Saccharomyces cerevisiae S288C: one gene and its partners. The protein of the gene in region 1 binds, or shares a complex with, the protein of each later gene. Each region holds a gene or a part of one and is shown in the gene's direction. Other genes may lie near its edges. The genes, in order: MRPS16, RSM10, RSM26 and VAR1.

The links.
Region 2: MRPS16 (region 1) and RSM10 share a complex: the UniProt entries of both Saccharomyces cerevisiae proteins name them as parts of the mitochondrial small ribosomal subunit.
Region 3: MRPS16 (region 1) and RSM26 share a complex: the UniProt entries of both Saccharomyces cerevisiae proteins name them as parts of the mitochondrial small ribosomal subunit.
Region 4: MRPS16 (region 1) and VAR1 share a complex: the UniProt entries of both Saccharomyces cerevisiae proteins name them as parts of the mitochondrial small ribosomal subunit.

The regions. Positions count from the first base shown.
Region 1 is NC_001148.4:528,435-531,202, reverse strand, and holds MRPS16 (mitochondrial 37S ribosomal protein bS16m MRPS16), read left to right. Parts: upstream 1-1,852; coding exon 1,853-2,218; downstream 2,219-2,768. Other genes in the region: mRNA-binding protein RRP12, read right to left, coding at 1-1,480; CIP1 (Cip1p), read right to left, coding at 2,511-2,768. UniProt on the Saccharomyces cerevisiae protein: Component of the mitochondrial ribosome (mitoribosome), a dedicated translation machinery responsible for the synthesis of mitochondrial genome-encoded proteins, including at least some of the essential transmembrane subunits of the mitochondrial respiratory chain.
Region 2 is NC_001136.10:538,205-540,996, forward strand, and holds RSM10 (mitochondrial 37S ribosomal protein uS10m RSM10), read left to right. Parts: upstream 1-1,598; coding exon 1,599-2,210; downstream 2,211-2,792. Other genes in the region: Na(+)/Li(+)-exporting P-type ATPase ENA1, read right to left, coding at 1-263; YDR042C (uncharacterized protein), read right to left, coding at 2,397-2,792. UniProt on the Saccharomyces cerevisiae protein: Component of the mitochondrial ribosome (mitoribosome), a dedicated translation machinery responsible for the synthesis of mitochondrial genome-encoded proteins, including at least some of the essential transmembrane subunits of the mitochondrial respiratory chain.
Region 3 is NC_001142.9:616,644-619,534, forward strand, and holds RSM26 (mitochondrial 37S ribosomal protein mS42 RSM26), read left to right. Parts: upstream 1-1,590; coding exon 1,591-2,391; downstream 2,392-2,891. Other genes in the region: AIM25 (Aim25p), read right to left, coding at 1-691; ESCRT-II subunit protein VPS25, read right to left, coding at 2,514-2,891. UniProt on the Saccharomyces cerevisiae protein: Component of the mitochondrial ribosome (mitoribosome), a dedicated translation machinery responsible for the synthesis of mitochondrial genome-encoded proteins, including at least some of the essential transmembrane subunits of the mitochondrial respiratory chain.
Region 4 is NC_001224.1:46,905-50,679, forward strand, and holds VAR1 (mitochondrial 37S ribosomal protein VAR1), read left to right. Parts: upstream 1-1,996; coding exon 1,997-3,193; downstream 3,194-3,775. Other genes in the region: OLI1 (F0 ATP synthase subunit c), read left to right, coding at 1-49. UniProt on the Saccharomyces cerevisiae protein: Component of the mitochondrial ribosome (mitoribosome), a dedicated translation machinery responsible for the synthesis of mitochondrial genome-encoded proteins, including at least some of the essential transmembrane subunits of the mitochondrial respiratory chain.

The DNA.
Region 1 (2,768 bases):
CGAGTATCATTTCAGGGCCCATAGCAGAAATGGAGGCTCCGATTACTAATTCGATTTCATTTCTCAAATCCATAAACTGTTCTTCATTTACTCTCCATGTATCGACTATTTTCAGTGATTTTAAAAAGTGAGGATTAGATCTATATCTGAATTTGTTGAATGCTGCCACCAAAATCTTAAGAATTTCTCTGGAACAATGGGAATATCTAATGGATAAAAAGTCGATAAATGTTTTCGCAATTTGAGAGATGATTTCATCTACGTTTTTGAAAACTTTCTCATCCACACTTGGTGTATACAATAACAAATCATCTTTAACAGACTCAGAAAGGATTGAGATAAGACATTGAGAGGCAGCTTGGTACACTTCTGGAGTTTCACTAGCTAAATATGTGCACATAATGTGAAATACACCAGGAATTTTACGTAGCGCTTTCAGTGGTTGATGTGTTGCGTAAGTGGACATACCCTTAATGACCACAGCAATCCAGGACTTGGTTAATAATGTATCGACATTTGAGGGTTTTAATGCAAAAATGGTATCCAAGACTCTTAGGTACTTATTTTCAGCCAATCCAGAAGAAATGGTAGTTTCTGCCATTGTTTTGAACATGCTTTCAAAACATTCAAATGATGCAGAAACGAGATATTGCTCTGAGCTTTTGGTGACTCCCAATAGTACATCACAAAGAGGCTCAATCTGTGAAGATGGCCACTGTCCAGTAGAGACGACTGAAGTAATCAACCTTAGAGAGCGCATGACACTAGCGTTAATGTCTTCCTTTGTTTTCTGTGCTTTCAATTGTTTATTTGATAAATTCGAGAGATCATTTAAAATACCTGCTAACTGCTTGTCACAGAAATCTGCTACAAAAACTGCCGCTACATGCTCTGCAGTTGGTGCAACAGGAGGGTTTAATAAGACCGCATGAACTGCATCTAGCGCTCTCTTTCTAACTTTTGGTCTTACATCTAAAGAAAGTTCAAGTATACCCTGCAAACCTCTTTTTGGAGTGACGTTTAGATCATAAGTATTGTTCCAGGCTTGTGCATCTTGAGCAATAAGAAGAGATTCTAAACAACCAATAGCAGCTCTAATTAGAGGGGCATTAGCCTTTTCTGCAGTGATACATGGGGCAATTTTCGTTAGGATTTCAGAAAACTTCGATCTTAATAATACCTTAGGCGAATAATGAAATATCAGATCTAGAAGATATGTAGATGAGGAAGCCAATTGAATATCTTTTATTTCATGAGTAGATGGGTCTACTGCTTGATCCAATAGTGACATAAAGGAAATGATATAATTTACAATGTTTTTTGAAACATCATTTGTAGCTTGACCTGCAATATTTTCCTCAACGGCAGTTAATATTATAGCAATATGCTTTTGATTCTCCAATTTAGAGTTTACTTGGGAACGAATTTTAGCCAGCTTGTCCTCCAGCTCTAAAAGAAAAGCAACTTTGTCTTGATCCATGATGAACTCTGAGATTTGCTGATTCAATTCGCGAGATGCTGTTCAAAATCTAGAAATTACCTGGTTGAATTCAATCAGTAAAAAAATAAGTTGAACCTTTTCAAACTAAAACTCTTCTCTGAGAGAATTAACTGCGACCGAGGAAGTTCTAATTGCGCGATGAGATGAGATGATATAATTAAAATTTTAAACACTGCAGCGAAAAGAAAAATTTTCACTAATTATGATCATCTATCATTCAGGACGGAAAAAATGAAATAGTACACCAAGAACAGTTGTAAGAAAAAAGGAAGGGGAATATATACACGACTTAAGTAACGGAGGAGTTCTGACTGGTATTCCGTTAAGAAATTGTAATAGAGTTTATCAAGTATGACCTGTGGTCTAGTACGAATAAGGTTAGCTAGATTTGGAAGAAAAAATAGTCCGGTCTATAATATCGTAGTGGCTAATTCCCGTAAGGCGAGGGATGCTAAACCGATCGAGGTACTAGGAACCTACGTGCCGGTACCCAGCCCAGTGACCAAGAGAGAATTGAAGAGGGGCGTTGTACCTATTAAAGACGTGAAGCTTGATTTTGATAGAACAAAATATTGGATTGGTGTGGGAGCACAACCTAGCGAAACAGTTACTAAACTATTACGAAAGGCTGGTATATTAAATGATGCATGGGCCACTAGTAAGAACAGCAATGTGAATAGGAAAGTTGTATTTGAAAGAATGGAAACATTGGAGTGAAAAAGATCGGAAAAAAAAAAAAAAAGAAAAAGAAAGGAAAGCAAAGGAACGTGTTTTAATTGATGCGAGGTGTATATGTATATGTTGTATATATGTTTTACTTGGCGCTTTTATATCTATCAGACTTGTAAATAATACATCTATGGCCAACCAGAAAATGGAGAATGAGACTTGAAATGGAATAAATTAAATTCTTAATCGAATGTGAAGAAAAGAGAAAGTGTAATAGAATTTCATTAAGATAGTGTCATTATAGGTCATGTATTGTGTGCTCCTGACTGTTCGGCACTATTTACCTTTTAAGACGCAATAAATCTCTTTTTAGCTTCAATGATTCATTTGGTAAAATAGAGGATTCTTCAGTGGACACGTTTGCTGTAGGTAAACGAGTACTAGCTAAGGGGGACGATATGATATTGCTACGTTGTCTCGATAGCAGAGCTATGTTAAAATTAAATGCGGAATCTGTTGTAGGCGTTGGCGTGAGTAAAGAAAAGGCATTACTGTTGCTAACACTATTGTTAGAATTTGTGCGGGCTAAGATAGGTTG
Region 2 (2,792 bases), on another chromosome or scaffold:
ATGGCAAACGAGATTATCATGGATATTAGAAGGACCATGATCATGGCATTACATACCTGATGGAGGACCATTGCCTTGTAATCAATTTTAGTGTCATCACCCAATGTGTTCTCACCCACTGTTTTCAATCTGTGGACGAACTCATCTTGGGTCAAACCTTCAGTTAGACTTGTGCCTATGAATTCAGCGGCTTCTTCTGCAGTCAGCGTGTGATAAGCATTGAATTCTGCATTATTGTTTTCCTTAGTAGTTCCTTCGCCCATCGAAAATTTTCAATTCTGTGTACGAAGTTTTTTCTTTAATTAGTAAATATACGTATTGTTGCCTCAAATAAATGTGAATTAAGTGTGAACAGTTCACTTGATGAAGATATCTGCTTTATTAAAGTTAATATTAGAATATAAATGATTAGACTATTACTAATGAGAAAAGAAAGATAGGAGAAATAGTAGAAATTAATAGTACTCTAAAAAGAAAGAACGGAATAAGAGGAAAAGACCTTTTATCTATTCAAATTGTTTCCCTTAGGTATATATATATATATATATATATATATATATTTTCCCTGTATATATCTATGTAAATGACGAAAACGCATGACATTTTAAAACCTACCCCGGGTTTGACCACAACCCACCGTTCATCTAATATTAACCCGCACCCACCAAGGAAAGAGGCAATAATTCGGGAATACTGCTCTAAGACCTTGTTTTTTCTTCTGTCAGGTGAAAGTATATGACCAAAATCTACATCCCTGCCCTAACAAACGTCATAGAAGTAGGAAATAAATGATGAGCCCCGCAAAATGACGCCGCACGGCGATGTTTAAGACCCTGTACTCACAATGTAACCACTTCGTGCAGAAGCTTCTGGGAGGAAAGGGTCCGTACATGAATTATCACACCCACACCCCTCATTCAATCCTTCTACCGCGCATGGTAATCAATCATAACAGGAAGCGATAAGAAAGTTTACATTGCACAGCCACCCTCATTGCCTCTGTGATTGAAGATCTGGGAGTGGGGCTAAAGGTGCAACTTCCGTACAAGAGTGACGAGATAAAGGATTTTCCACGGAATGGCTGACAAAATTCGGGGCTTGTGTGAGTTCCACGTGCGGATGACTTAATAAGCTCAGTGATTGTACTTTTGACATGATTGATGAACGGCTAGAGATAGCCACCGAGTGGCTACTTAGTAATAACCAGCGTAGGAAACAATTACGGATTTTGTTATCGTTCACCGATAACCCTAAAATATTGACCACACTGGTAGTCATTAGAATTTAACCAAGAGGGTAGCTTAGTTCGACCGATAATCAATATTACTGAAGTCTTATCAAATTCTGACTCTTGCCATACCGTTTCTTATCGTCACTGTTTAATCCGGAAATTAGTCATGTATCCACACATCCTTTATTAACAGCAGAGAGATTGGGCAAGAATGTTAGCAAACTATGTACCAGGCGGGTAATACCTGTACATCTATTTTCTTTTGAAAAGGAAAAAATGCAAGAAAGGGCATGAAATGAAACTATTTGGTACAAATTAGAATTATGCGAACCGTGCAAAATCAGAAAAGGGGGAAAAACATTGGCCAATGCTTAGAAATACCATTGCATTAAGATCATTTATCAGAACACAGTCGACGCGCCCATATCCTGTAAATGTAGAGGCAGTCTACTATGCTCCTTTAAAGTTACCTATCAAATATGGTGATTTAGTTGCAGACATTCAGTTAAGATCGTATGACAATGAAAACCTCGATTTTTATTCAGACTTCATACTTAGAACAGGTTACTATTTGGGTATCCCATTGACAGGTCCTAAACCTTTGCCCACGAGAAGAGAAAGGTGGACTGTAATAAAATCACCTTTCGTGCACGCTAAATCCAAAGAGAATTTTGAAAGACATACACATAAGAGGCTCATTAGGGCCTGGGATACGAACCCCGAAGTGCTACAGATGTTGATAGCTTACATTACGAAGCACTCTATGGCAGGCGTCGGAATGAAATGTAACTTCTTTCAAAGGTCCGAAATATCGCTGGACTTGGGTTCGGACGCCAATGGCCTCGAAAAATCACTAAGCAATATCGATGAATTGTATTCTCTGAGAAACGATGATAAAGCTCAAACTAGTGCTGTCGGACAAAAAGTATTGGAACTATTGGATAGCCCCGATTTTAAAAAACATTTGGAAAAGAAGTAAAAAGATGATGGCAATCCTATAATTACGCTGGTTCTTGGGACCGAAAAGATTTCGTACTTGTAAATAAAATAGGTGAAGAAGAGGGGCAAAAAGTAGTAGATTAAATGGTTATACTGAATTTATAAGTAAGTTTAATTATATTTTTTAACTATATGATGAACAATTTTGTACTAATATTGCGGCCCGTTATGAGTATTGCTCTTGCCATAAAAGTGTGTTCACTGCTTTGTTTCCTGGTACTGCATACCGCTTAATATTGTTATCGCTCAATAAATTTAGTTTCTGGAAGCTTTCCAAGGACTTACCAGGTAGCGGGCCTGAGAATCTATTTTTTAGTCCATCGGCTACAAAAATCGGTAGTATATTTGTTCTTGGTAAGTAAGCTTTGCTAAAGGAAAGTGTCCTTTTTCTGTTTGTATTCTTCTTCGAATTCCACCTGAAATGTTGGACATTCAGGGATGTGTGTAACCGATACTTCTGGTCAGAGAGTTTGTATACAATATACTCCGCTAATCTGAAAATGGTAAAAAATAATATAAAAACATTCTTGGTAGCAGATATGGAATCTGAATTCATATTGAG
Region 3 (2,891 bases), on another chromosome or scaffold:
ATGATAAGAAAGGTGCATCTATCTTACCAAATTGGTCAAAAGTGGATCCTTCTACTCCATCTTTCTGGAATAATTCGTAACGACGCCTCCAGAGATGCCAGTTCTGAATGGTCTCTCCTACTGTCGTTCCTTCTTTACCGTCGTGATAGTGAGTGGAGTCACTGCCATTATCAACATACGCGGAAGGAGGTATGATAGTCTTTATATGAGAATTGATGAACGAAAAGGGCCTTTTAATCGTCATTATTACATTTCCCCAATTATCAAAGACATCTACCAAAAAAGGACGATGTAGACGATAAAACTGCCGCATTATGGCCTTTGTTATAGAAAAATCTCTTTCCATCATTGATGCTATTTTGTTTCCGTTCACATCCATTATGGCATACCTATTAGCCTGCTCGAAACCTAGAAAAACGTTCATAAATTCTATTTGCCTTTCGATAATAACTGTCGGTTCATTAAGTATCGTAGTAGCTATAGGATCATGTACTTTTATTATCCCGCTATTGCTATTTTCTTTAAATGCTTTTACTGATGGCGCCTTCGTTATTTGGTTCTTTTCACGAATTACTCTCCTAAATGGACCGTTTCTGATTACTTTACCAGAAGAAACCGTTAATGTTTTACTCAGTGTACTGAAATTTCTCATACATGATCGGTAAGTTAGAAATATTGCCGTTCTATGCATGTCGGTGTTATCCTTTATGTTTGACCTTTAATCTTCTTTTGTTTTGTCTTTTTTCATTTCGTACTTTTCAAATCCTTATTGCCGGTAGGCTTACAAACTTGAATGAAGTATATAACGAAGTCAATGAAACCTCTCCCATACTAGGTTCGGAACCTGTTAAGGGGAACAAGACCGCGCACTTGTTATGAAAATTCTTCCTATAACTATATTGAAAGCTATTTTTCCACATCGGCAGACAAACGACTGTCCAGACTTAGTAAAGCTCTTGGTCGATTTTGTACATTGCCTTTCCTTTACAGCTCCAAGATATTATATATATTTTTGACAAGGTAATCAATTGCCCCACAAATCTTCCATATAAAAACCTATATATGCTATTAACCGAATGGCAATTCCCTCTATCTCATATCTCACCTCTACAGTAATCCTTCCGTGGTATCTGGTCTATAGAAATGGGTACTGTTTCATTTAAACGTGTTATCACTTGATCCAATGGTTACCATCTGACTTTGGCATCAATCCCTTCTTAAAAAGTAACCAATCAATGATATGCGATTGTTTATGAAGTCCATTCAACAAACAATGGGAGTTTGGCCGAGTGGTTTAAGGCGTCAGATTTAGGTGGATTTAACCTCTAAAATCTCTGATATCTTCGGATGCAAGGGTTCGAATCCCTTAGCTCTCATTATTTTTTGTATTTTTTTTTTTCACTTCCCATCTTTCCAAGAATCTTAGGAGAGGTGCCGCAGTACTTTTTTGGACTGAGCAAGAAGTATCGCAAAGCATGGAAAAGTAAGAAGGGTATAGCAAAAGTCTTTTCACAATAAGAGGATATTTTGCAGGCAAATTTCTGAAGACCACATAATATCGTCTTCTTGGCGCAACTAAGACGCAGAGAAATGCTTGTTTTCAAAAGGGGTATTCACGTAGTACCTAAACTACCAAATTCTAAGGCCCTACTGCAAAATGGAGTGCCTAATATACTCAGTTCTTCGGGATTCAAGACGGTGTGGTTCGACTACCAGCGATATCTATGTGATAAGCTAACGCTGGCGACAGCGGGACAGTCTTTGGAATCATATTATCCATTTCACATATTGCTGAAAACTGCAGGAAATCCATTACAGTCAAACATCTTCAATTTGGCGTCCTCTATCCATAATAACCATTTATTCGTGGAGAACATTCTACCTTCTGCTGTTGAACATGGCACTAACTCGAACGCCGTTGTGAAGACAGAGCCTTCTAGGCTTTTTTTATCCAAAATCAAAGATTCATTCAACGGCAGCGATTGGGAAGTAGTGAAGGAGGAAATGATTTACCGTGCTGAGAATGAAGTCTTGGGACAAGGCTGGTTATTTCTAGTTGAAAACAATGAGAAAAAACTCTTCATATTAACGAGCAATAATAATGGTACGCCGTATTATTTTCCCAGGAACCAGTCATTTGATTTAAACAGTGCGATATCCATCGATGAATTTGCTACCTTGAAACAAATGAAAGAACTGATAGGAAAGTCTACTAAGTTGAATGGTAAGGTTCAAGACTGGACCATGCCTATAATCTGTGTCAATCTGTGGGATCATGCTTATTTACATGATTATGGCGTTGGTAACCGGTCCAAATACGTGAAGAATGTTCTAGATAACTTGAATTGGTCAGTGGTAAATAATAGGATATTCTCTGGTATATCGAAGTAATGAAAAGAAAGGAAGCGATAGCCTCTTACCCTCATATGTAATTATAAAGGTATCGGGTAGAAGGGGATCTACCAAAATCTTATATACTGTAAATAGTTTTATTTTATCCTCTCGCTCGTGTTTTAAACAACCTTAATGGCAATTACTTTATCATTTTCATCTTTCAGCATTGTGGCCCTATTTCTATCGCATAGGGGCTTCAAACAATAATAGAGCAAGCTTTCGGGCATTCTATGGAACTCCCAATTGACTGTTTCATCACCTTCACTCAATTCGTATAACGTAATGACTTGATTCAGTTTTCCAGAGTCTTCGAACCACTGTAGTATCAAAGAAGCCCAACTGTCTAAGCTCTTCCATAATATAAAATATCTCGTAGTGGTGGTATTGCTGCTTCTCCTACCACTTTGGTCAATCGGTAAGCATTTGCCTTCTTTGGTCATTTGCGACCAAATTTCATCAATAAATACCTGTGATACAGATCTTTGGATGTCCTCATT
Region 4 (3,775 bases), on another chromosome or scaffold:
AGGTTTATTCTGTTTAATGGTTTCATTCTTATTATTATTCGGTGTATAATATATATAATATATTATAAATAAATAAAAAATAATGAAATTAATAAAAAAATAAAATAAAATAAAATCTCATTTGATTAAATTAATAACATTCTTATAATTATATAATTATTATAAAATATATAAATATTATAATAATAATAATATATATAAATTATAATAAAAAATAATAATAATATATAATATACCTTTTTTTTAATATATTAATATATAAATAAATAAATAATGGATAATATATAATTACTTTTTTTATATTATTAATAATAATAATTTATAAATATTGTTATAATAAACATTTATATAAATAAATATAAATTACCATAATAAGATATATTATTTATTAATAATAAAAATATTTATTAATAAATAAGAAATATATATATTATGATAATATTTATTAATAAATAATAAATTCTTTATATATAAATATATTAAATATATTTAATTGAACACAATATAATTTTTATTGTATTATTCATTTAATAATATTAATATTAATATTAATATAATATTAGTGAACATCTCCTTTCGGGGTTCCGGCTCCCGTGGCCGGGCCCCGGAACTATTAATATTTAATAAAATATATATAATTTATAATTTTCATATAATTAATATAATAATTAGGTTTATAAATAAATTATAATATATTATAACAATATAATAAAATATATTATAAATCTATCTATCTATCTATATAATATATAAATTTATATATACATTAATAATATTTAATTATAATTATTTAAATATTTAATTTATTAATATTCCCCGCGGGCGCCAATCCGGTTGTTCACCGGATTGGTCCCGCGGGGTTTATATTATTTAAATATTAAATATTAAATAATAATTTATATTATATTAATAAATATAATAAATTAAAAATATATGATTAATTATATAATAATAATAATAATTATTTTAATATTATAATTTATAAAATTAATTATATTAATTATATTAATTCTTATTATATAATAATTATTAATAATAATTTATTTTAAGAAAGGAGTGAGGGACCCCCTCCCGTTAGGGAGGGGGACCGAACCCCGAAGGAGAAAATAAATTAATAAAAGTTTAAAAGTTCTTATATTAATAATTATATAATATTATATTAAAGATTTTTATAATATATATATATAATATATTTATAGTTCCGGGGCCCGGCCACGGGAGCCGGAACCCCGAAAGGAGTTTATTTAATATTTATATTTATATTAATATTTATATTTATATTTATATTCCTCTTAAGGATGGTTGACTGAGTGGTTTAAAGTGTGATATTTGAGCTATCATTAGTCTTTATTGGCTACGTAGGTTCAAATCCTACATCATCCGTAATAATACATATATATAATAATAATTTTAATATTATTCCTATAAAAATAAAATAAATAAATAAATAATAATAATTAATTAATTAATTAATTTTAATAAATATAAAATATATAAAAATAATAATAATAATAATTATTATTTTAATAATATTATTTATATAATAGTCCGGTCCGACCCTTTTTATTCTTAAGAAGGGATTTTATTTTATTAATTAATAATAATATATTAAAAATTATAAATAATTAATAATTCTTTATATTTATATATATATATATATATTTATATATTTATATATATATTTTAATAATATTATGATATATTTTATTTTAATAATATTTTTATTTTTATATATAAAATTATAATATTTTATTTTATAAATTATTTATATATAAATTATTAATAATAATTATTTTTTTTTATTTGGGATTTATATTATTATTATAAAGAATATAATGTTATTAATAACTGCAAAAAATATCTAATATATTATTATTTATAATAATAAATAATATTATAATAAGGATGCATATTATATATATATATATATTTCTATTTATATTAATATTAATATTAATATGTATATATAATAGATAAAAAGTAAAAATAAAAAATAATGAAATTAAAATTATTAAATATAATTTTATCAATAATAAATAAACTTAATAATAATAATAATATTATTATTAATAATCTATTAGATTCATTAATAAATAAGAAATTATTATTAAAGAATATATTATTAGATATAAATAATAAAAAAATAAATAATATAAAAAGAATATTAAATAATAATAATATAAACCCCGCGGGCGCCAATCCGGTTGTTCACCGGATTGGTCCCGCGGGGAATATTAATAATAAATTACAACATTTAAATAATATAAATAATTGAAATCTACAAATTTATAATTATAATAAAAATATAGAAATTATAAATACTATAAATGATAAATTAATTAATAAATTATTATATAAAATAATAACTTTAAAATTAAATAATATAAATATTAATAAAATTATTATAAGTAAACTTATTAATCAACATAGTTTAAATAAATTAAATATTAAATTTTATTATTATAATAATGATATTAATAATAATAATAATAATAATAATAATAATTATTATATAAATATAATAAATAAATTAATAAATATTATAAATAATAATATAAATAATAATTTATGTAATATTTTAAGTTATTATTATAAAAAAAAAGTAACTATTGAACCTATTAAATTATCATATATTTATTTAAATAGTGATATTTTTAGTAAATATATTAGTTTAAATGATATAGATAAATATAATAATGGTATCTTAACTAATTATCAACGTATATTAAATAATATTATGCCTAAATTAAATGATCATAATATTTCTATAAATTATATTAATAATATTAATAATATTAATAATAATAAATATAATAATATAATTAATTTATTAAATAATAATAATAATATTAATAATAATAATAATTATAATAATAATAATAATAATTATATTGGTAATATTAATAATATTTATAATAATATAACTATTGATAATATTCCTATAGATATTTTAATATATAAATATTTAGTTGGTTGATCTATTAAATTTAAAGGTAGATTAAGTAATAATAATGGTAGAACTAGTACACTTAATTTATTAAATGGTACTTTTAATAATAAAAAATATTTATGAAGTAATATTAATAATAATTATAAATTAAATTATATCCCTTCTAATCATAATTTATATAATAATTCTAATATTAATAAAAATGGTAAATATAATATTAAAGTTAAATTAAACTTTATTTAATATATATATTAATAGTTCCGGGGCCCGGCCACGGGAGCCGGAACCCCGAAAGGAGAAATAAAATAAATATAATAAATAAAATAAATAAATAAATAATATATATATATATATAAATATATAAAATAATATTTACTTTTTATATATATATAATTATATATAAATAAAATATAATATAATATCATATAATTATATAAAAATAAAATTATAATTTATTTATATTAAAAATATTAATTAATTAATTTTTTTATATAATTATTATAATAATAATTTAATTAAAAATAAATATCAAATAAAATTATAAATTAATCCTACTTTTGGATCCTATTTATATTTTATTATTATAAATAATTATTATTGATAGTTAATTAAATAAAAATATATATATATATTACTCCTTCGGGGTCCGCCCCGCAGGGGGCGGGCCGGACTATTATAATTATTATTAATATATTAATTATTAAATTATATAAACCGCCCCCGCGGGGGCGGTTAGTTATTTATATTAATATATTTTATATTAATATATAATACTCTTTTTTCTATTATATTTTAATATATAATATTAAAAAAAATAAATAAAAT